Linked DNA regions of Oryzias latipes. The protein of the gene in region 1 purifies or fractionates together with the protein of each later gene. This does not show direct contact. Links are inferred from orthologs where the notes say so. Each region holds a gene or a part of one and is shown on either strand. Other genes may lie near its edges.

The links.
Region 2: the proteins of mphosph10 (region 1) and imp4 purify together in Homo sapiens (affinity purification with mass spectrometry; 3 studies listed by BioGRID and IntAct, with this or other methods). This does not show direct contact. The link is inferred for Oryzias latipes from reciprocal best matches to the Homo sapiens genes MPHOSPH10 and IMP4.

The regions. Positions count from the first base shown.
Region 1 is NC_019861.2:17,877,368-17,888,846, reverse strand, and holds the start of mphosph10 (U3 small nucleolar ribonucleoprotein protein MPP10), read left to right. Parts: upstream 1-6,106; 5' UTR 6,107-6,138; coding exon 6,139-6,224; intron 6,225-10,552; coding exon 10,553-11,213; intron 11,214-11,339; coding exon 11,340-11,479. Other genes in the region: ferritin, heavy subunit, read left to right, coding at 12-170; mcee (methylmalonyl-CoA epimerase, mitochondrial), read right to left, coding at 3,013-3,165, 4,997-5,331, 6,016-6,043. UniProt on the Homo sapiens protein: Component of the 60-80S U3 small nucleolar ribonucleoprotein (U3 snoRNP). Required for the early cleavages during pre-18S ribosomal RNA processing. Part of the small subunit (SSU) processome, first precursor of the small eukaryotic ribosomal subunit.
Region 2 is NC_019867.2:28,393,718-28,405,291, forward strand, and holds the start of imp4 (U3 small nucleolar ribonucleoprotein protein IMP4), read left to right. Parts: upstream 1-6,132; 5' UTR 6,133-6,234; coding exon 6,235-6,237; intron 6,238-7,035; coding exon 7,036-7,144; intron 7,145-8,518; coding exon 8,519-8,602; intron 8,603-8,667; coding exon 8,668-8,777; intron 8,778-9,088; coding exon 9,089-9,221; intron 9,222-9,322; coding exon 9,323-9,477; intron 9,478-11,280; coding exon 11,281-11,375; intron 11,376-11,457; coding exon 11,458-11,531; intron 11,532-11,574. Other genes in the region: rabl6 (rab-like protein 6), read left to right, coding at 1-55, 1,968-2,223, 2,348-2,534, 2,742-2,800, 3,891-4,079. UniProt on the Homo sapiens protein: Component of the 60-80S U3 small nucleolar ribonucleoprotein (U3 snoRNP). Required for the early cleavages during pre-18S ribosomal RNA processing. Part of the small subunit (SSU) processome, first precursor of the small eukaryotic ribosomal subunit.

The DNA.
Region 1 (11,479 bases):
TCTCCTTTCAGCTGTGTGACTTCATCGAGACGCACTACCTTGACGAGCAGGTGAAGTCCATAAAGGAGCTGGGAGACTGGGTGACCAACCTGCGCCGTATGGGTGCTCCCCAGAACGGCATGGCAGAGTACCTGTTTGACAAACATACTCTTGGTGAAGAATGCAGCTAAATCTGTCCAGATGACTTGCACACCTGCTTCTGCAAATGTATTTTTATATCTTGCTTCCATACTATTAAAAAAAGATCTGTTATCTGCATGATGGGTAGTTTGACCTTTTCTAAATGGTATTTGTGTTCCATCCACGTTGCCACACTAATGGAGTAGTAGCATTGAAGATCTTGTTTGTCATCACCTTGTCATTGCTGCATATTTGCTGTATTGTGCCGAGAGTTGTTTCTTAATCTCAATAAATCCAACCCCTCTGAATTGTGTTTCATTTTATTTTCAAATGGAGCATTTCAACTCGGGTTCAGGTGCTGGAATAAACTCAGTTTGATTTCGATTTCTCAAACCTAATTTCCAGTCAATGCAGTCAAATGTTAAAGCTTATCTTTAGTTGTAGACTAATGCATGAGAAGATTCTCAGTATCCTGTGTGGTTTTGTTTCTCTACACAAAACTTGCAGAGCAGTGTAATTGCTATAGTCAACCTGCAATTAGTGTGCAAATGTGCGCAGATTGAAAATATGGTTCCCAGCAAGGCTGTGGTAGAGCTTAAACATCACCTGTTCTCCAAATGACTAGTCGAAACGGGTTTCAGTGTGTTTGCTCAAAGGACAGGTGACGTGATTAGCTGATGTTCCTCACAGAAAAGCAGAAGTTCTGAACCTTTTCTTCCCATTTTCAAATGTAGCTTGAGAGTATCTGCATGAAAGTCAGTTAAACAAGCTAAAAGGACTTTTGCTGCAGTGGAAGTTTTAGTGGCATGAACTTTAAATTCAATATTGTTCAGAAGGACATAGATCAGAGCTTATCCCAGCTGTTTGGGCCAAAAGCCGGGTTCACACTGGACCTGGGATAGACTCCCACCTCACCTCCCTGAAAATGATGTAGGAGGTTCAGAAGATGGATGGATTGCTGGAACATTCAGTGTGTTAACACTGTTCCATGAAAACAGCAAATACGTTCTCTATCAAAGAAGCTCCTCAGGCCTCAGAAAATGTAATTCTGTCAGGGTTCACGTCTGCCATTGTTTCAACGCAACAGAAGCTGCTTCATTGTCATTTAGATGACTAAACACCTGAAAGCTGCCCTTCATGCCATCATGCAGTAACCACCAATGGCAAACATCTGTAAATCTACAACAAAATGGTTCAAAGTTTTGCAGTGACTCATATTTGAAGCCTTTGCTGAACTAGAAAATGGATCTGAATAAAGCTATAAAGAAGCACAAGATGAGGGTTTTTAAAGCGTTAAAGTTTTTAATGCTGCTAAAAATATTTGTAATGAGAGGTTTTCCTAGTGGCCAAATGTCAAAAATAATTTTTTATCTAATCCGACTAAAGTTTTTTAACCTAAAAGGCACTTCAACTTAAAGCACAACACCACAACCAAACACAGGTTTAAGACAAAAAACAAAATAATTTGGGTTTTTCCAAAAGAGACAAATGTTTGAAGGGAAGTGAAATTATTACATAACACCCACCTGTCAATTCAATTCCCCAGTGTGTCAAACAGATGTTTTGGGGCATTTTATTTTGCCCTTTATTCTAACAAACAGAAAGCTGTAAAGGCTTCCCTAAATGTCAAGGCTCCCCCCAACTCTCCCCTAATGGTGACCTTGAAATAGGATAATCAGCTTTATGTCTACCTTAAATAACTGGTTTAATTTAGTGTCATTTACAATCATTTTATTTCATAAAAGTGTGTCACCTGATGTTTGTTTCAAATATATTTCCAATGCTACATCAAAGCACAGTAACAAGCTTGTATCGGAAAAGTTTGGATGATTTAGAAAGCTCTTCCTTTTGTTTTCCAGTCGAGTGAAACATTCCAGAAATGTTGTGACTCATACGTTTTTTAACAGTTGTGTTATGTGGCCATTCTCAGAATGCCTAAAAGTTTCCAGCATGGAGGACACAGAGTAACAAAACATTTTGTGACGGTTTCCCTCTTTACAGAATTGCGTTTCCAGAGCGCGATTACACTTCTTTTGTTTTTGGAGGGAGGCTCCACATCCTCTGCAGGCCTGTCGACTGCCGGTCCTTCCTCTTCAGTAGAGTCTGCAGAAAGTTACTTTGCTAAAATGAATACACATTCACTAGAAACACTGCGATCTTTAAGTAAGTATGTTTTGCACTGATATCTTGAGATGGTCTTATCATTCACCCCCCCACACACACATTTTAGAGAGGGAAATTTCAATGAGTTATTTTTTTATGAATTAGACACAAAGTAACCCTTTTTAAACTTTTCTGAAGACTGGAACAGCTAAAACTAGAGATAAAAGAATCCTCACAAGTTGATGCTCAAAATAGAATCTTTACTGCTATTTACACAAAAATCAAACATTATCTTGAGACAACATTTTAAAATTTAAACAGATGCTCCCTTTGCAAACACAAAAATGCAAAAAAAATATTTTTTTGTTTTATTGTTCCACCATCACGATCTGAGAAGTGAACTGTTTTCTGGTTCATTTTTGTTTATTCTTGTTTGATATGTCAGATGAAGACAGATTGAAACATTTTTTTTGAAGTTTAATGTGTTTATGTATGTGTTTATTTTTCCAACAATTTAGAAGGGCAAATTTTTTGTTGGAAGCTTGGGAACATCATAAGACATTTAGTTTAAAATGATGGAAAACCTGTCTGCCTACTGTTTGTGTTTTTGTACGTCCATGTGGGCTTTGAGTGTCGATTTTTTTTAAATACAAAATGAAAATATGAATGAGAATATGAGAAGAAGAAAAAAAAAAGGAAGTGAAATGAGAAGTGTTAGAAGGAACAATGCACATTAGTGGAATATATACATGTAAATGGAGGTTTTCTCCTGGTTCCAGGCACAGATGCTTATGCTTCTTCGAGCTCAACCAGCACACCATCACAGTCTTTAGGATGAAGAAACATGACAGGCTTCCCGTGAGCGCCGATACGAGGCTCTGCTGACAGAGTCCTGATGTTCTTAGCTTTCATGTCCGCCACAGCAGCTTTAATGTCATCAACCTGTGAATATAAAAAAGGAAGAAAACACGTGTCAGTGTAACAGCGGCGCGTGTCAAGATAAGCATCAGAAACAATTATGGAAGCTTGAATTAGCTCATTCTGAATGGATGGATGGATGGGTGGGTGGGTGGATGGATGGGTGGGTGGATGGGTGGGTAGGTGGATGGATGGGTGGATGGGTGGGTGGGTGGATGTATGGGTGGGTGGATGGGTGGGTGGGTGGATGGATGGGTGGATGGATGGATGGATGGATGGTTGGATGGGTGGATGGATGGATGGATGGATGGGTGGATGGGTGGGTGGGTGGATGGATGGGTGGATGGATGGGTGGATGGATGGATGGATGGATGGATGGTTGGATGGGTGGGTGGGTGGATGGATGGGTGGATGGATGGATGGATGGGTGGGTGGGTGGGTGGATGGATGGATGGATGGATGGATGGTTGGATGGGTGGGTGGGTGGATGGATGGGTGGATGGATGGGTGGATGGATGGATGGATGGATGGTTGGATGGGTGGGTGGGTGGATGGATGGGTGGATGGATGGATGGATGGGTGGGTGGATGGGTGGGTGGGTGGATGGATGGATGGATGGATGGATGGTTGGATGTATGGGTGGGTGGATGTATGGGTGGGTGGATGGGTGGGTGGGTGGATGGATGGGTGGATGGATGGATGGTTGGATGGGTGGGTGGATGGATGGATGTATGGGTGGATGGATGGATGGATGTATGGGTGGGTGGATGTATGGGTGGATGGATGGTTGGATGTACGGGTGGGTGGATGGATGGATGGAAGGGTGGATGGATGGAAGCTCAAATAAAATACCGAATTAAAGTGGGAAAAATACAGCAGACCTAAGTAACTCTTGTTATTTATGTCCACAACTCTCCAAAGGTTCTGCAAGTGAATTTCCTTTGAGTTTAGACTCAAAACTCTCGATTAGTTTCTTTTCTTTTTTAAGAAACAGAGTTGGTGCTGTGTGTTTATTTACTTTTTTGTTTAGTGTTCCGGTCCCGTAAAGTGACTCAGTTTTAGTCAAACTTTTTGCCCTCTCATGCTTTCACACGTCTTTGCTACACGGAAATGCTTATGGTAGATTTTAGGACTCCCACGTCATCCAGTCCTACCGCTGCAAAACAAAACCACAACATTATCCTGCTTGACAAGCCCTTAAAAATCAACGTGACCAAAACAGAAGTCACTACCTAAGATGTGGTTTTGATTGAGGCAGGTGTGTTTGGGGTGAAGAAAACTTATTGCTTCATCTTAAACTGATGTATAATTTAGATGAAACATTTATTCAAATATTTTTTATTTAGTTGAAGTGAGAAATAATGCATGTAGATAACACAAGAGGAGGACAAACATTTAAACGAAGATAGGAACAATTTGAGGTTTGTTTTTCTATAAGTCTACCGACTCTAATGTAAGAGATCTATATTTTTAGTAATTATTCTTTCTGTTACATCGATTTTTAAGAAATATTTTGATCCAGACTTTTCACATAAAACTTTGGAACATTTGGGGTTTTCTTTCTATTCACCCAACGCTGGGAGATTAGGTAAAATATGTTGATGTTCGAGAAAGGCTCATTTGAAAAACCATTAAAGGACTTGTGTGTGTAATTCTACGATTATCAGTCAGGAAGGAAAATCCTTTTTCGATGCTGTAACAGAAAATTCCATTCAGGTGTGTCATTTTCATCAGGTCACGCCTATTCTTTCTGCTACTGACACGCAAACATACCTCCTACCAAAGCAATTTGTCATCATCATGGTTGTATAGCTATGGGTGCCACCTGAATGACCTATTGTCTAATACCTCTCACCTCGATGCAAATGTGATGCATCCCTCCAGACTTGTTCTTCTGCAGGAAACCAGAGATGGGGCTCTTGTCCCCCAAAGGATGGAGCAGTTCCAGCTTTGTGTTGCCAAGCTCCACAAACACAGTGTACACCCCGTGCTCAGGAAGGGGCACCTTGTCGCTTACTGTTGCCCCGAGCACGTCACGGTAAAGAGCTGTGGCCCTCTCCATGTCGGGCACAGCGATGGCAATATGGTTCAGCTTCCCCAGCTTCCAAACGGCCCCGGGGACGCCCTGGCAGAGCGGCGTTGTCGTGGAGACACCCCTCAGGAGAGTGAAACACCTGGAAACGCCTGCTGCTGGATAAACAATACAAAAAACATGAATCAGGACAACTGTAGCTGGATGTGTGGTTTGCCTTTTCATAGCAGTAAACACTGTATTCTGATTTAAATTCACTAATTTTGAAAATGCAAAGTCTAATCTATTATTCTTTCATCTAAAAATGTCATTAATACAGTTTGAAACAGAAATATTTGTTAGGAATAACCAGCATTTGGGTTGCATCTTCTTTATGGATTTAAATAATGTTATAAGGAGATTTTGATCATCAGACCTAATTTTAACGACAGCAGTTAGATCGGCTGTTGGCAAATAATGTACAGAATTATGTTTATTAGAATAATTTGTTATTTTGAAGAAGAAAAAAGTGTTTCTTTAGACTTGTCAGTCCTCCATTCCAACAACCAAACCGGTCAAAAACAAAAATTAGGTGTAAAACGTGTTGACACGTTTTAAAGTTTAGCTCATTTTTACAACTGTAACAAAATTTAAAAATCATTACATCATTTACTGATTTTTTTTCCCCCTCGTGTCGTGTGACATGATATTTTGATGAAACTCAAGCTTACAAACTCGGTTTTAACTTGAGCATAGTCTTTTTTAACGACTGGATCGGGAACAATACATCATAATTGTCATCCTATAAGAACAGAAGACGTTGGGGAAAGCTGTTTGTTAGAAAACAATCGACAACAACAAACCTGCAACCTTGAGCATTGCTGACGCCATGTTAAGAGGTCGGAACCAAGTTTCAGCGGAGCACAGGTTTCTCCTGGAACGTGTTTACGTGCGGCACACGGGAGGGTCACACATGTGACGGGAAAATGGCGAGTGAAGATGTGTTTAGATTGTTGGAAGATTGTGTCCAAAAAGTACAGGAGAATACGGCACAACCAGACATTTTTCTAAGGCAAGTGTTGGTTTATGCTTCATCTATTGAATAAAAAAAAAGTTAGTTTTTATCTTTGCAGAGAGAGGAGACAGTGTGGCGCAATCAATGCTAATGTTACTTCATTAAATAACCTACAGCTTGGATTTTTCATCTCTAACATTTTGTTATAGTCAGTAATAATAGAGGGCTGAATTTAAGACTTGGCATTTATGTAAAAACACAGATTTAGCCTGGGATGTGCATCTGCAGGCGGTGTATCAGACAACAGTTTAGCATTAGTGTGGTGAACAACACAGACACAGGATTCTGTTGTAAATCAGTTTTGTTCAATAAAATGATCAGATTTATCTAGATTATTGTAACCAGCTTTTACAAACCTATACTATACATACAAAAGAAACAGATTGATATTGTCAAGTCACTAGAATGGATTGTATAAAAATGCAGATTCCAGAACTTAGTATCTATTTATTAAAACTAAACATTACTGAATGAATGTGTGCCTGCCTGAGGAAATAGGTGATATTATCATCTTATATCATGATGTCAAATAAAAACAGACATAAATGTTTAGCTCCACATTAAAGTTACACAGACTATTTATTTCACACATTTCTTAAATAAAATGAGTGAAAAAGACAGGGATCCAAATAACACAAATAGCAGCATTGAGAAACTTAGCAGTACTTGGGTTAAATCCCTGTGGTTAGGGGGGGTCGTAAAGAATACTACCAACGTATTCCCTGCGTGTCGTAAAAGGCGACTAAAAGGGACGGAGCGAGAGGACTGGGAATCCTCTCCCCTGTAACTACATTCCTAATTACGGACAGGGTAGAGTTGGGAAGGGGAGATTACCTCCCCAAACCCTTAAGATTGGGTCGTTGAATGTGCGGGGGTGTAGTACAGACGGAAGCAAAAGAGATCTGATTGGAAGGATGTTTGAAAGGAGGGGAATGAGCGTGTTAGCACTGAGTGAGACAAAGATGAAAGGGAAGGGTGAGTGTGTGTTTGGAAGTGTGAGTGGGAGAATGTCTGGTGTAGAGAGCGGGAGAGCAAGAGAAGGTGTGGCTTTGCTGGTGAGCTGTGAGGTGAGACGATGTGTGGTTGAATGGAAGGAGGTTTCACCAAGACTGATATGGGTGAAAGCGAAATTTCGGAAGGAGCTGTGGGTGTTCGTGAGTGCATATGGTCCTGGCAGTGAGAGGAATGAAGAGGAGAGAGTGACCTTCTGGAACGACTTGGATGAGTGCTTGCAAGGATTTGGAGCAAATGTGAATGTAGTGCTGATGGGAGATCTGAATGCTAGAGTGGGTGATGAGAAAATTGAGGGTGTTGTTGGCGGGCATGGTGTTCCTGGAAAGAATGATAATGGTGAGAGACTGATAGGAATGTGCACTGAAAGAGAGATGGTGATTGGGAATACATGGTTCAGAAAGAAAGAGATCCATAAGTATACGTGGGTGAGGCAGAGTGGTGGAAGAGTGATTGACAAAGCACTGATGGATTATGTGGTGGTTTCAAAGGTTGCATGTAGTAGATTGCTAGATGTAAATGTGAGGAGGGGAGAGTGTGGAGGTATGTCTGATCACTATTTGGTGGAAGGAAGGTTGCGTGTGGGTATGCCATGGGTGAGATCGAGAAAGAGTGGGGAGGCAAGAAAAGTTCTGAGAGTGAGTGTTTTGAAGAACAGAGAGAAAATGTGTGAGTATCAGAAGGAATTAGGTGGCAAGTGGAATATGGTGAAGGAGCAAATGGTTGTTGGAGTGGAGGAAGAATGGCAACAGTTCAAAAGTGCAGTGGTTGGAAGTGCAGAGGAAGTGTGTGGTGTGAGACGTGTTGGGGGTGGTCTAAGAAAGGGAAGTGAATGGTGGTGCGAGGATGTAAGGTTGGCTGTAGCTGAGAAGAGATGTGCGTACGAAGTATGGCTGCAGAGAAAGGACAGGGAGTCATATGAGTGTTATAAGGAGAAGAAAAGGGATGCTAAGAGAGCTGTGCGTGAGGCAAGAGCGGCTGCGGACGAAAGGTGGGGCAGACAGTTGACTGATAATTTTCGAGAGAACAAGAAAATGTTTTGGAAGGAGGTAAAGAGGGTGCGAAAGGGAGCGTCGGGGAGGGAGGAGAAAGTGAAAACAGAGGATGGAAGGATGTTGAATGAGGGGAATGCAGTAAGGAAAAGATGGGCAGAGTATGTCGAGAGGCTGCTGAATGTGGAGGAAGATCGGGATGCTGTGATTGGGATGGATGGAAGGGAAAGTAGACTGAATGTATTGGGAGAGTTGAATGAAACGTTGATTACAGGAGAGGAAGTTGAGCAAGCTGTGGGAAAGTTGAAAGTAGGAAAGGCTGCAGGTGTGGATGGGTGTGCTGGGGAATGCCTGAAGTGTGGTGGAGCGATCGTGATTGAGTGGTTAGTGAGATTGTTGAATGTGTGTTTTGCAAATGGGCAGGTGCCGCTTGATTGGATGAGTGCGTGTGTGGTTCCCCTGTACAAGGGTAAGGGTGATAAGTATGAATGTGGTAGTTTTAGGGGTATTAGTCTGTTGAGTGTTGTAGGCAAAGTATATGGGAGAGTGCTGATTAATAGGGTAGTGGAGGGAACTGAGTGTATGATTGGTGAAGAGCAGTGTGGTTTCAGGAGAGGTAGAGGGTGTGTGGATCAGGTGTTTGTTGTGAGACAGGTGTGTGAAAAGTTTTTGGCTAAGGGGAGGGAGGTGTTTTGGGCATTCATGGATTTAGAGAAGGCGTATGATAGGATTGATAGAGAGGCGTTGTGGGTGGTGTTGAGTATGTATGGTATTGATGGTAGATTGTTGGAAGGTGTGAAGAGTTTCTATAGACACAGTAGAGCGTGTGTGAGAGTGGGAAATAGCATGAGTGAGTGGTTTCCTGTGAGGGTTGGTCTGCGTCAGGGATGCGTGATGTCTCCGTGGTTGTTTAACGTGTATATGGATGGTGTGGTAAAAGAGGTGAATGAAAGGGTGTCGGGTACGGGTGTGAGCATGATAAATACTGACGGCAGCGAATGGAGTGTGAATCAGCTGCTGTTTGCAGATGATACTGCACTAGTGGCTGACTCAGAAGAGAACTTGGGACGTCTGGTTGAGGAGTTTGGAAGGGTGTGCGACAGAAGGAAGTTGAGAGTGAATGTGGAAAAGAGTAAGGTGATGAGGTGTACGAGGTTAAAGGGTGAACGCAGATTGAATGTGGCATTAAATGGGGAGTTGTTGGAAGAGGTAGAGTGTTTTCAGTATTTAGGGTCGTGTGTCTGTGTGGATGGTGGAATGGGGGGAGAGGTAGAGTTTAGAATGAATGAAGTACGAAAGATATGGGGGGGAATGAAGAGAGTGTTTGAATGTAGATCACTGGGAAAGGATGCAAAAAGGAGATTGTATGAGGGTGTGGTGGTGCCTGCAGCGTTATATGGGGCTGAAACATGGAGTCTGAAAGTGGCGGAAAAGAGGAAGCTGAATGTAGTTGAGATGAGATGTTTGAGGAGTATGTGTGGTGTGACGCGTATGGATCGTATGAGAAATGAAGTTATCCGAGAGAGAACTGGTGTGACGCGAGAGTTGGCTGAAAGAGCAGAGCAAAAGGCACTGGGATGGTTTGGACATGTTGAAAGAATGGAAAGGGAGCGATTGGTGAAAAAGGTATATGAATCTGATGTGAGTGGAGTGAGAATGAGAGGAAGACCGCGAATGGGATGGACAGAGGGTGTAAAAAGAGCGCTGAATGCAAGAGGGATGACTGTGGTGCAGGGGAGAGAGGCTGCTCAGGACAGGGATGGGTGGAGAGAGTTTGTGTATGAATGAATGGATGGGTGTGGTAGAGGTCTGGTCTTGGGATGAAGCGGCAAGGGGAAACCAGCCTTGGCTGAGGCCCTGCAGTGGAGGTGCCCACACTGGGCTGTGCAGCTGACCCTGGTGCAGTGTGGTGTGGCTTAGACCAGATCTCAGACCAGTCGCACGCACATACGCACACACGCACTCACGCACTGAAGGAGGAGGGTTTGGGGAAGAGACAGAGGGAGCTAAAATTGTGTGCCTTGTCTAGGCTACCCCACCTTGGTGGGACACAGCCTTGGTAAATAATAATAAAAACTTGGGTTAATATACCATGTCAATCTAGTTCAGTGTTGAGACAACACTGGGGTTCATTATAGTCTTTGTAGGAATTGCGGAAATAACTGACTACATGGAGTCTATATTGAATATGGATGGAAATTTATCTGAAGTGTATCAAATGATACGGGACATTTTTATTTAAGTTGTAGTGATATTGTTTGGTCTTAAACTCTTTCCTAAATTAACTCTCCTTACTGAATTTAATGTCTTTGTCTTTTCCAGCCCGCAGGACGAAGTGGCAGCAGAGTTCACGTCTCTCACCAAAACCTTGTATGATCTCCGCAAAGCCCAGGAGCCTGCAGGTTATGGAGGCAGCCCGCTGGCTCAGCTTGTGGTGGAAAACTTTGATGAAGAGCAGATTTGGCAGGAGTTGGAGCTGCAGAACGATGCTGTCCTGACACACTTTAAGAATGCCATAGATGGGGCTTTGTCAAATGGAAACCTCACGTTACTGTCAGATGAAGAAATGGATGCAGACAAGGAAGACCAGAGTGGAGTAGAAGAAGAAGAAGAAGGAGCAACAGATGATGAAAATGTTAGCGAACAGCTTCCTCGACTGTCTAAAAAATCCTCAGTGGAAGCTGAAGAAGGCTCAGACAATTACTCGGAGGATGACTCGGATATCGACTTTGACGTGAACGCTTTGGAGAAACAGAGAAAGGACAAAGGAAAGACGGGCTCCAAGAAAAAAGTGGTTCCCTCTGAAGTTGATGACAAGTTCTTCAAACTGTCAGAAATGGAGACGTTTCTTGATGATATAGAGAAGCGAGAGGTCAAAGAAGACGACAACGAAGATGAATTAGACTACTTTCGGGACCTGCCTTCCGATGAAGACGATGAAATCAACTTGGATGAAGTCATGTCTTCCAAAAAGAAAAAGACAGTATGTGTTTTTGCTTGTTTTTAAGTCATCGCTCTGGGGAATCCATGAATCTCATGGCTGATGTTTGTGCAGATTCTCATTCGTCCTAGCACTACAACAACTGATGCCAACTGTTTCTGCTAACAGGGAAAGAGTTCCAGAGATCTCAAGTACAAGGACTTCTTTGATGCAGTGGACAATGAACCAGATGAGCAGCAGTCAGATGGAGACGATGACCACATGGATGACAGCCAGGAAGAAGATGGTGAGGAAATTGATGGCGAAGA
Region 2 (11,574 bases), on another chromosome or scaffold:
CAGCGCCCATAATTACACAGGACCAGGACGTGGACAGCGAGCCCGAGCTGAAAGTGTACGTTAGTTTGAGTAACTCAATGAAACAGTCATTCTTATTTGAGAGGAAACGGCTAACTAATCAATTCCTTACATTTTTTGTAAACATACAGCTTTTTGATTTTCAGTCTTAATGTGAAAAAGGCAGCATTTCTTTCTTATTTTTTATGCTAAAATGTGTGTTGGTAGCTCCTCCCTAACGCAGCGGGAGCGTCAGGTTTATTAACTCCTCCCACACGCGGCGGGAGCGTCAGGTTTATTAACTCCTCCCACACCCGGCGGGAGCGTCAGGTTTATTAACTCCTCCCACACCCGGCGGGAGCGTCAGGTTAGTAACTCCTCCCACACCCGGCGGGAGCGTCAGGTTTATTAACTCCTCCCACACGGGGCGGGAGCGTCAGGTTAGTAAGTCCTCCCACACCCGGCGGGAGCGTCAGGTTTATTAACTCCTCCCACACGCGGCGGGAGCGTCAGGTTTACTAACTCCTCCCACACCCGGCTGGAGCGTCAGGTTTATCAACTCCTCCCACACGGGGCGGGAGCATCAGGTTTATTAACTCCTCCCACACACGGCGGGAGCGTCAGGTTTATTAACTCCTCCCACACACAGCGGGAGCATCAGGTTTATTAACTCCTCCCACACACAGCGGGAGCGTCAGGTTAGTAACTCCTCCCACACACGGCGGGAGCGTCAGGTTTATTAACTCCTCCCACACACGGGGCGGCAGCGTCAGGTTTAGTAACTCCTCCCACACACAGCGGGAGCGTCAGGTTAGTAACTCCTCCCACACACGGCGGGAGCGTCAGGTTTATTAACTCCTCCCACACACAGCGGGAGCGTCAGGTTAGTAACTCCTCCCACACACGGCGGGAGCATCAGGTTTATTAACTCCTCCCACACACGGGGCGGCAGCGTCAGGTTTAGTAACTCCTCCCACACACGGCGGGAGCATCAGGTTTATTAACTCCTCCCACACACGGGGCGGGAGCGTCAGGTTTAGTAACTCCTCCCACACGCGGCAGGAGCGTCAGGTTAGTAACTCCTCCCACACGCGGCAGGAGCGTCAGGTTAGTAACTCCTCCCACACGCGGCAGGAGCGTCAGGTTAGTAACTCCTCCCACACACAGCGGGAGCATCAGGTTTATTAACTCCTCCCACACACGGCCGGAGCGTCAGGTTTAGTAACTCCTCCCACACGCGGCGGGAGCGTCAGGTTTATTAACTCCTCCCACACGCGGCGGGAGCGTCGGATTTATTAACTCTTCCCACACGCGGCAGGAGCGTCAGGTTTAGTAACTCCTCCCACACGCGGCAGGAGCGTCAGGTTAGTAACTCCTCCCACACGCGGCGGGAGCGTCAGGTTAGTAACTCCTCCCACACGCGGCGGGAGCGTCAGGTTAGTAACTCCTCCCACACGCGGCGGGAGCGTCAGGTTAGTAACTCCTCCCACACACAGCGGGAGCGTCAGGTTAGTAACTCCTCCCACACGCGGCGGGAGCGTCAGGTTAGTAACTCCTCCCACACGCGGCGGGAGCGTCAGGTTAGTAACTCCTCCCACACGCGGCGGGAGCGTCGGCTTTATTAACTCTTCCCACACGCGGCGGGAGCGTCAGGTTTATTAACTCCTCCCACACACGGGGCGGGCGCGTCAGGTTTATTAGTACTGCGGCGGAAACCACAGAATTTCATTACAAGGTAGAGGCAAGGACAGATGTTCCTGCGTTCTGGGTTGTTTGTGACCCAATCCCACTTCATCAGGCAGGAATCCCCACAGAGGATCTGTGTATCCAGTTCGTTTTGTGAAAACAAACAAAACGGATGCTGAATATGTAATCAAATCCCTTAAAGTGGATCAGGAATAGTACAAATGTGTCAATTAGACGTCTGGCAGGGACTTCCTGCCCTTTTCATGAGTGACTTCCTGTTCCAGAGCTGCACCACCTCTCACCAAACCAAAGGCGGGGTCTAAACCCACGGAGCGCACAGGCCACGCCCCCGTCTTCCTTACGCTGACCCCAGCAGCAGTGGAGCAGCCGGCCCGACCCCAGAAGAAGAAGAAGGGTCCCTCGAGGGCGGAGGACTCGGACACAGACCCAGAACCCCCTGTGGCCCAGCAGATGCTGTCTTTCGTCATGGATGACCCTGACTTTGAATCTGAGGCCTCTGACACCCCCAAGATTGTAAAGGTACACCGCTGGACGGCAGTGCCCAAGCTCCCGGCGCTGCCAGCACGCCGCCTCATCAGTGCTGTTTGAAGGGGGGAAGAGAGAGATGTTTGTTCACATCTGTGTGTCTCTGGGTTCACCTCAGGAGACGTTTCCGCTCAGAGACGACCTCCTGTCCGACCTCTCTGACGAGGACATTCCTGCAGTCACGGCGCCGGAGCCGCTGAAGCCCACTGTGATCTCCTTCAAGCCCAAGGACGACGCCGACCTGTTCGGCCTGGGCATCCGGGAGGAAGCTCCTGCAGCGAAGGACAGCAGCGAGGAGCTGGAAGGTGAGCCGCTGTGGAAGAAGTTCCCGTGATTCCTGGGTTTGCTCAGCAGCTCTTCTTATGTTTTAACTCTGAAAGGACACCTGCCCCTTTAATGACCTCAGGCTGGGAACAAACTTAAAAATTTAGGTCACTGATTCTGGCCGGTCTGTGGAGCTGTTCATGCATGTTCTGAAATAACGCAGCGTCCCTCTTTTTCTTATTTTTTAGAGAAAGACGGCAAGCCCTCCTCCAAGGAGAAGAAGAAGAAGAAAAAGAAGAGCAAGGAGGTACATTTTTCAGCTGCTGCTCTTCTGCATGTGAGATGCTGCACTCGAGCGTCAAAAGGTTTAGAACCGGGTCTGCAAGCTGAGGCTCCAGAGCCACAACAAGGGCCTCCTTCTGCCCTCCACTGTGGCTCTTTGGCTCTGAAGAAAAATGCTAATAATTTGAATCAATTATGGGTTTGTATTTTTGATCCATTTGATTTAGGTAAATAAGTTTTGTCATTTAGGTTTAGATATTTACCATGTCTGATAAGCATCGGTAAAAGGTTTAACCTACAGGTAGAGTCGTTTTTAGACCCTAAAGCACATATTCTTATCTTCCACTGAATAGCATATTTTTGCTGTTCAGAGGCAAAACTTACATTTAAATGCATATATTGTTTTTAAAGTCAACCATTGTTGTCATGTTTATACTGATGGTAAACAGGGAAAAAAAGATAGACCAAAGTTAAAACGCTAAAAAAAATTCCATGTTTGGTGTAGCTTTCTTGACTGGTTAATTCTGTTCAATCTGCAGCAGCTGAAGGATCTCATTTGACATTTTATTTTAAAAGGAGCTTTCATTTCTGCTGTCAAAAGTAAATAAGAAAAATCTGACACTTTCTTAATCCTGTTATAGTAAATCTGTAACACTATAATGTATGAATGACTCCCTAAAAACCATCAATAGAATGCAGTGAAGGGGGGCTTTGGGGCTCTCTTTGGGCTCGGTCAGTTGGTCCAAATGGATCTTTTTGCGTTTCAGGCTGCAGACCTCTGGTTTAGAAGTTTAGCTGAATCCAGTTCAGGTTAAAGCCGTTTCTGCACATCAACCTTTTTGACGGTTGCAGATGTTGAGATTACCGCTAATGATGTTCTGTCATTAGATGGAATATTTCCAAACTTGCAGCACTGATACGGTTTACAGAATCGACATGTTTGGCGCTCCTGTAAGCTGCAGAACACGCCTAATGTGAGCTTGTTTTTGTTTTTGAGGAGTTTATCATGGACATAGCTGGTCGTGAACCATACTGTTTCAAACAGAAGAACGAGAAGTCTTCTGGTCACATGAAAGAGATCGGCTGTTAAATGCTGAGTTCTTGTCCGCTTGCAGGAGGAGGAAAAGAAGAAGAAACACAAACACAAGAAGAAGGAGAAGGACGAAGCTGCAGCTACAGAGGAGAAGGACAAACGGAAGAAGAAGTCCCGGTCGAAGAAGTCTGAGGTGGATGAGCTGGAGGACTTCTTGGGTGGGGGAGAAGGATTGGTCAAACGAGATGATGGAGATTATGAAGAGCTATAAAAACCGGCGCTGAAGCGAGACGTGTGACGTCCAGAGGAGCAGAGAGGAAACATCGGCAGTCGCTGTGAGCGGAGAGCTTCAAGCCATAAACCAAGCGAGGCTGCAGGAGGCTCCATCTCTACTCCTGCTGTCACTCCCATTCCAGCCAATAAGAGGAGGCAGCAGGAGCCATGCAGACTGTGTGGCTGCAGAACCTGAATGAGTGTCTGGATTTCAGTTGTACACGTGGTCTCCGCTGAGTGTTTGTGTTAACGTGTGAGCATGCTCAGTGATGACGGTGTCTTCATCTTCCCTTTAATTCCTTCGTCTGCTTGTTCTTTAGTCTTTTTTTTTTTTTTGCCTCTGTTGTGCAGGAGAACCATGTGACCCACGCTCCTACCCCGCCGCTTCAACGAAGCTGTGCATCACCACTCGCTTTCAGTTTACAAGCTAACAGACAAGCCGCTGAGCCACAGCAGAACACTTCCCGGTTCTGGTGGTTCTGAATCATTAGAACCTTGTTCTGTTTGGCTGCTCCACCCTATTATGTAGTTTCTGCTGACACAAGCTCCTTCTGCCCATAACATTTGCTGTGGAGAATTGATTTGTCCCCCCCATTTCAAGTGTTCTTACTGTAAGCTGGTGGGTCACATGACCCGGCTGTCACCGCCTTTTATTGGTGGATTTGTTGGCTCATTCTTCTTTTGTTTTCTTTGTTCTATTTATTTCTGCTTTGATGCAAATGTCGGATATTAGTCCTGGTTTTGCTTTTGTTTCTGCTCCACAGCCGCTCACTCCGACAAACTCCATCCAGCTTCCGGCTGCATAGCTGCAGGCGGGGGGAGGGGGGGCGTGAGACACGATGGACTCAAACGAGGCTCTTCAGCCCCCCCATCACCCGAATTAACATTTAATACTCCCAGCGTTCATCTGTATTTGCACACATTTCCACTCATTCATGGTTTAGATGAACAAAAATAACGATTTTGACATTTCAAAGTTGAAGCTATGCAGCATTTATCTCCAGTACTGTTAGCATTTTGGACTCTTTGTGAGGATAAATGCTGAAGGCCGTTTTAAAAGTCCACTCGAGTGCTGAGCAGGAACAAAATGGAAATAAACGTTTGAAATCTTTGTTCCAGCATGGAAACGCTGTCGGCTTCCTGCCTCTTCTGGCGGCAGTGAGGACGTCAGAGACGCTGTATCATCATGAATAAAGCTCTTGGTTTTTCTTTTCTCTCATGACCCATCTGTGCTCTAAGAGTTTACCCATGTTTGTCAAATAAAAAACTTATTTCTTCATAACAGGACAATATATTTGTGTGTTTATTAACTCTTTTCTGTCTTCCTGCATGCCTTTCATCTGACAAGCCCCTTAGAAATAAATTTTTACCCCTTTGACAAATTTACTATAAATAAGCAAAAAATCTGCCAATGGGGCAAGAAAAATGGTCTTATTGTTTTTTATATACCTGGAATTATTCTATTATATATAAATATTTAATATTTCAAGAAAAACACTTCTCAGATTAAGATTATTTTGCTAATAAAATCTTTTAGGTAAGATGAATTTTTCTTGCAAGACAGAAAATGTTCTTTACTTTAACCCTGTTTAACCAGGGAGGTCCCACTGAGATTTAAAAACTGTTTTTTTCTCTATATTTAGGAGAAGAATCAACAAAAAACACAACGAGCAGGCAAAAGCCCTTTTATTATGTCTAAGAATAATTTCTTGAAAACACAAGGTTCTTTTTACTTTTTTAAGATTTGTTTTTTGCAGCGTAGAGCAGGAAACGTGCAGCTCCAGAGCTCAGAAGGAACCTGTTCAGAACATTCTGGATGATAATCCTCAAACTCTTGTTCAGAGCAGATCTGCAGAATCTGTTCAGCAGAATCAAAGCATTACATTGGAAAAAATTAAATCCCTTATCATCCTAATATAAAAAAAATGCGTTCACATGGGTCTGAGTTTGTCTGGTTTCGGGTGCAATAAGTCTGGCTTTTTATGTTTCCAGTTAGTCTCCCTGAATCCACGGCTTTTATTTTGAAACGCCGGACACGCTGTAGCAGGCGCTTTCATTGGCTACGCCCTGAGCCAATCACAGGCAGTTTTGTTTCTCCACGCTTCCTCGCCCACGTGACTAGCATCGTGAATCTTGCTAGCATAATCCTCATCATGGTAAGTAGACTTAAATCTGTGAAAATCTATCGGTTTAATGGTTTTGTTTATTATTTAAATAAAGTTTTAGTCTGAATCGGAACCAGGAAATAATAAAAGGTCTCAAACGAAGTTCAGCTTGAGGCTAGATTATCCTGCCGAATGTTGAAATACTTTAAACTTTTTATGCCGTCTTCTTAGTAGATCGACTTAAGCCATTGTTTTCCCGTGAAAATCTGTTGCTCTGCATTTAATTTGATTATATTTTTTTTTGCTTTTGGGCGTTTTCGTTTTCGCCTAGACCGTAAAACCTAACCATTATGGATCAGGTTTTTGTCCAACGGCTGCTGTGCTAGTGTTTTTTTTTTTTTTTCAACAAGCTCAAGCTGCTGCACGTGTTTGTCCTTTTTACATCCTTGATTCTGTGATCGATTCATGTCGTCTTAGTCTTACTATCATTTTTACTCCCTACACCTGAATGGACTCAGCTGATCCTGGTATTCAGGTGTGGCAAACACAGAGCCGTTAAGGAAAAGGTCAGCACAGGTTCCTCAGACTAGTTAAGGCCAGAATTTCAAACCTATCCTGGCTGGATGTCATCATTCAGCTTCAGTGCAGAACCTCTCAGATGGACAGGATGAAACTCTGCTGTGAAACGAGTCCATCCACCAGGCGCAGTAAAAAAAAAAAGCTGCATGTTATGTTTGTGCTGAAAGCCCCTGAACCATCAGAACCCCTTTCACACTGGGTCTGTCGTTCTGGATTCCCCAGGTGTGAACATCTGTGTGTTTGAAGCTGCCTCTGTCCTCCTTTCTGCAGCTTCGTCGGCAGGTCAGGCTGAGGCGGGAGTACCTGTACAGGAAGGCCCAGGAGGACCGGCTCCGGACCATCGAGGAGAAGAAACAGAACTTGAAGAGCGCTCTGGATGGTGAGAGGCTGCTTTTTGGTTAGAGGATCTTGGACTTTTTAGGGCTTCCTGCCATTCCTTTACACTGAACATTAGGAATTAAATACCCAGATCAAAAAATAAATAAAATAGGGCTTTTGGTGTTTTTAACGTGTTCTTGTAGCATTTTTCAGACGATGGAAGACCTATATAAGGAAAATTAGGCTGTAAATTGCAATTCTGAGTATGTTTTTATTTAAACTGTTGTGAATCAGGAGCAGACAAATATTTGCTGCACAGAAAATACGCCGGGTGGGCCTCAATCTCCCTGCTCCGCTCCATTCCGAAGCATCCACCTGCAGACTTAGAGATCCATGAACGTCACGGGCTGGAAAACTCGCGATATTAGTGATCAATATTGCAATAACGATATAACCTGTGGTATATGAACAAACGGCCAAACAACCAAAAAACATCATTCCCGTTTTATTGGAACAGTTTAAATAGTATACTCCAAATGACCCTCGTCTACATAGAACATAAACATCTAACATAAATAAGGCTCCATCTGATTGGTCATGAAGATGTCGATCTGTTCGGTCAAATGTATAAACGGATACATTTGATTCGTTAAACACTTCAAGCTGGCATAAGTTGTTTTAGCACACTTATTTACCATTTATTGCAATTTTTGCCGTCTTTTGCGATATGCATATTGCACAGCTTGATATCGCGATAACGATACATTTCCCATTTATTGTGCAGGCCTAATGAACGTCTTTGTTTTCCTTGTCTGAATCTGGATCCAAACTGTACGGCTGGATAGCTCCTCTAATGCTAGCCATTTTTGTTGCAGTGCTAATGTTAGTTTGGGGCTGTAAGCCAGCAAGAGGCAAATAAACAGATGGGTGACGGGAAGTGGGAGCGGGCCCGCGATGCGCCAACAACCCTGCCCACAGGCGAAATTCTAATAAACTCATTCTGCTCTGCAGAAGCTAAGTCCTAGAAAATGACAGAGGTTTTTAAAATTGTGCCTAAAAACGACATCATCATAACTAAAAGATCACTGGGAACGGTTTGAAAAATGATCAGAGTGAGTCTGAACCAAAAACCATCTCCATGGGGGGGTAACAAGGATTCATCGGTTGTTGTTTACCCTCCCTGACACACTACAGGTCAGCCTTCCGGTGCTCAAAAAAGGTCCGTCAAAGCTGATGTTCTGTTTGTGTTCTGGGGGTTTTTCTACCAATCACAGTACTCTGGTGTTTGTGTCATGTGACCTGAAGGTTTCGTAACAATGTGTTTGCGATATTTACACGCAACTTCACTTTTTCTTTTTCCCCCCTGCTGCTTTTGGTAACTCGGCGTTTCCCCCGTCGTCTTAAGGTTAACACGAGCTCCCTTCTCTCGCCGCAGAAAACCGTCTACTTCCCACAGAGGTCCGCAAGGAGGCTCTGCAGCTGCAGAAGCTGCTGGAGTACGACGACGAGGGGGCAGAGGGTAAGTGCTGCCGCGTTCCAACTTCAGCGCCCTGCGGCTCCTCGTCTCAGGTTCGATCTCCTCAGGTGTTAGCTCCCACATGGACGATGAGTACAAATGGGCCGGAGTGGAAGACCCAAAGATCATGGTCACTACATCCAGAGACCCGAGCTCCAGACTCAAGATGTTCGCCAAGGTGGGTTCAGTTTGTCCACAGCTCTGCAGTGGAAGTCCTGAGGATGAATACAGAGAAGAAGAATTGAGTCACACTTCAGGAAGTTTTTAGATGACCTTGGAAGTTTGAGCTGACGGAAACCAGAGTGAAGACACCACATGGATCCATCCTGATCCAGATGTGGCTCATGTCTGACGGTCCTGTTCTCTAGAGAAACAGGAGCTTCCACCTCTTTAAAATAAGTTTTCCAGTTGGTTGAATCACAACAAAACAGGGTGAGTGTTTCTGTGAGGCTGTGCACCAGGATGATGCCTTCACTGTCCTCTCTGCAGGAGGTAAAGCTGATGTTTCCCGGGGCGCAGCGCATGAACAGAGGAAACCATGAGCTCCCAACACTGGTGCGAGCCTGCAAGGCCAACAACGTGACAGACCTGGTTATTGTGCACGAGACCAGAGGACAGCCAGGTATGCGCTCGTTCAGCGTCACTCCTGCGTTTAACCAGGTGCTGGTTATTTAGACTACTTGGTGGCGGTTAAGTCCTGCAGAAACTCTGTTGTCTCTGCAGACGGCCTGGTGGTGTGCCACCTCCCCTTCGGACCCACAGCCTACTTCACGCTCTACAACGTGGTGATGAGGCACGACGTTCCTGACATTGGCACCATGTCTGAAGCTTACCCCCACCTCATTTTTCACAACTTCACTTCCCGGCTCGGCAGGAGGGTAAGCGGTGGGGCCGCCCCGTGCACACTCCTCACAGCTGTTCACACCGAACGTGGATTTGTGTCCGCTGCCGCTCTTTTGACTTGCGTCAAATTTGCTGCTGGATGCTTATCCAGAGATGTTCTCATAAACATGACACTCCCACCGCATGTGGGAGGAGCTACATCGCTACGTGGAAGCAATGGTTGTGTCCAAATTGGTGGTCTGCGTTCTTCCTGGGCTGCATTTGAAGTGCTGTCCAAATTCAGCAACTCCCACAAATGCGGCCATCCAGCACTGCCCTCTTTCTTCCCAAATTTCAAGGATTGGTCTGCTGTATTCTTCTATGCTGTCCATATCCCAAGATGCATTGCAGCCAAACCTGGAGATTTTCTGACAACAATGACGGACTGTGAAGTGGGACCTGGAGTTGGAATAATTACACCTTTTTATAATTACTCCTCCAAGATTAAAAGTTGGATCAAATAACACAGGAAATTTTTGCGCTCCATGCCTGGTTCGCTACTTCTTTCTGTTCCGGACTCACAGTTTCTAGGCGACAGGACATTCGCCGATGTAATGGCTGCAATCATCTAAAGGCTAGACTCGTCCAAATTCACAGTCGTTAACATCCGGCCTACCCGCTCAAAGAAGGACCCGGCCAACGTCGCCTGGGAAGGATGTGGCTGTTGAAGGATGCAGCTTTAATTCATGGAAGACTCAAAGGATGTTGAAAGATCATATTTATTTATTTTTAACAAGCTCTAAAAAAACGGCAGTACAGTGATCCATGTTTGGGTTTGTGAGATCAATCAGAGACCCTCCCAGGACGGTGAGATTCACCATCTACTGCAGGAGCTGCAGCTGAATGACGGACGCTTTCAGCGCTACTTCTGTCTCTCTGTGACCCAGTTTGACGACTTGGTGGGAGGGAAAAGATACACATCGAATAAAATTACAGGACCTTACGGTGCAAATAACAAAAGTATCATAAAGTTCAGGAGGACGATCAGATTTTCCTCCATGTAGATTTGGATGCCACCCGCTGGTCACATCATCAACACGTCACGGGCCAAAGCAGAGTCCCTGATTGGCTAACTCAATTTGTCTTTTTTGCCAAGGTTCAGATATTTAAAATGTGAAAACACTGCGCCGCAACGCCTGAAGTTCACTGGTGACAAAATGCGGCGCATGACGGTCAAAACGCGTCGCAGGACCTCTTGATTGTTTTTGTTAATTGACTTAACATTGAAACTGGACCGTTGACTGTATACGAGAACTGGACTGAGTGTGGCGTCAACCATTCCAACCAAATGAAGTCAATTCAGTCGACTTTTTTTTTTTCCAGCAATACTGCCGTCGCCATGTTAGAATCAGTCGACGTCAGTAAACAGTGATTGGTCCAAGTTGGTCTGAGTCAGGGTTTCTATGGCAACCTCTCTCACCAATCAGGAGGGGGCTTCTTGGAAGTCCACACCGCTACCACTGGGAGGCGTCCTCAGGAGAATCAGTCAAACATTTATACTTTCATTCAGACATCTGATTGGTCAGTTTATAACTTGCAATAACAAATTATATCATGAAAAAAATTAGGATTAGCAAGAATATGTAGGAGAGCAAGAATGGTTATTCTGACAAATAGAATGACTGAGTTATCGCTGTTCATTTCGCTATGTGATTTTGGCTTCTTTGATCCAGCGGGTACTTCCTGTTTGGAACGCCATGGGAGAGGGGACATTTAGTCCAGTAATATGGCCAATGAACTGGACATGTGCGAATAATGCTTGGTGTGAACGTAGCCTGTGATGCCCTTTGCCCCTACAGGTCTCCAGTATCCTCAAGTACCTGTTTCCAGTGCCAAAGGACGACAGCAGGCGAGTGATCACATTCGCCAACCAGGACGACTTCATCTCCTTCAGGTGGGTGTGGACCCGCCCCTCAGTCAGAGATGAGAATGCAGCATCTCTGGAAAACAACCCAGATCTTCTGTTTCTCCCTCAGACACCACACCTACAAGAAGACAGACCACAGGAATGTGGAGCTGACGGAGGTGGGACCCAGGTTTGAAATGAAACGTAAGTTTGGAGGGAGGAAAGTTCCCGCTGCGCTCGTGTGAGC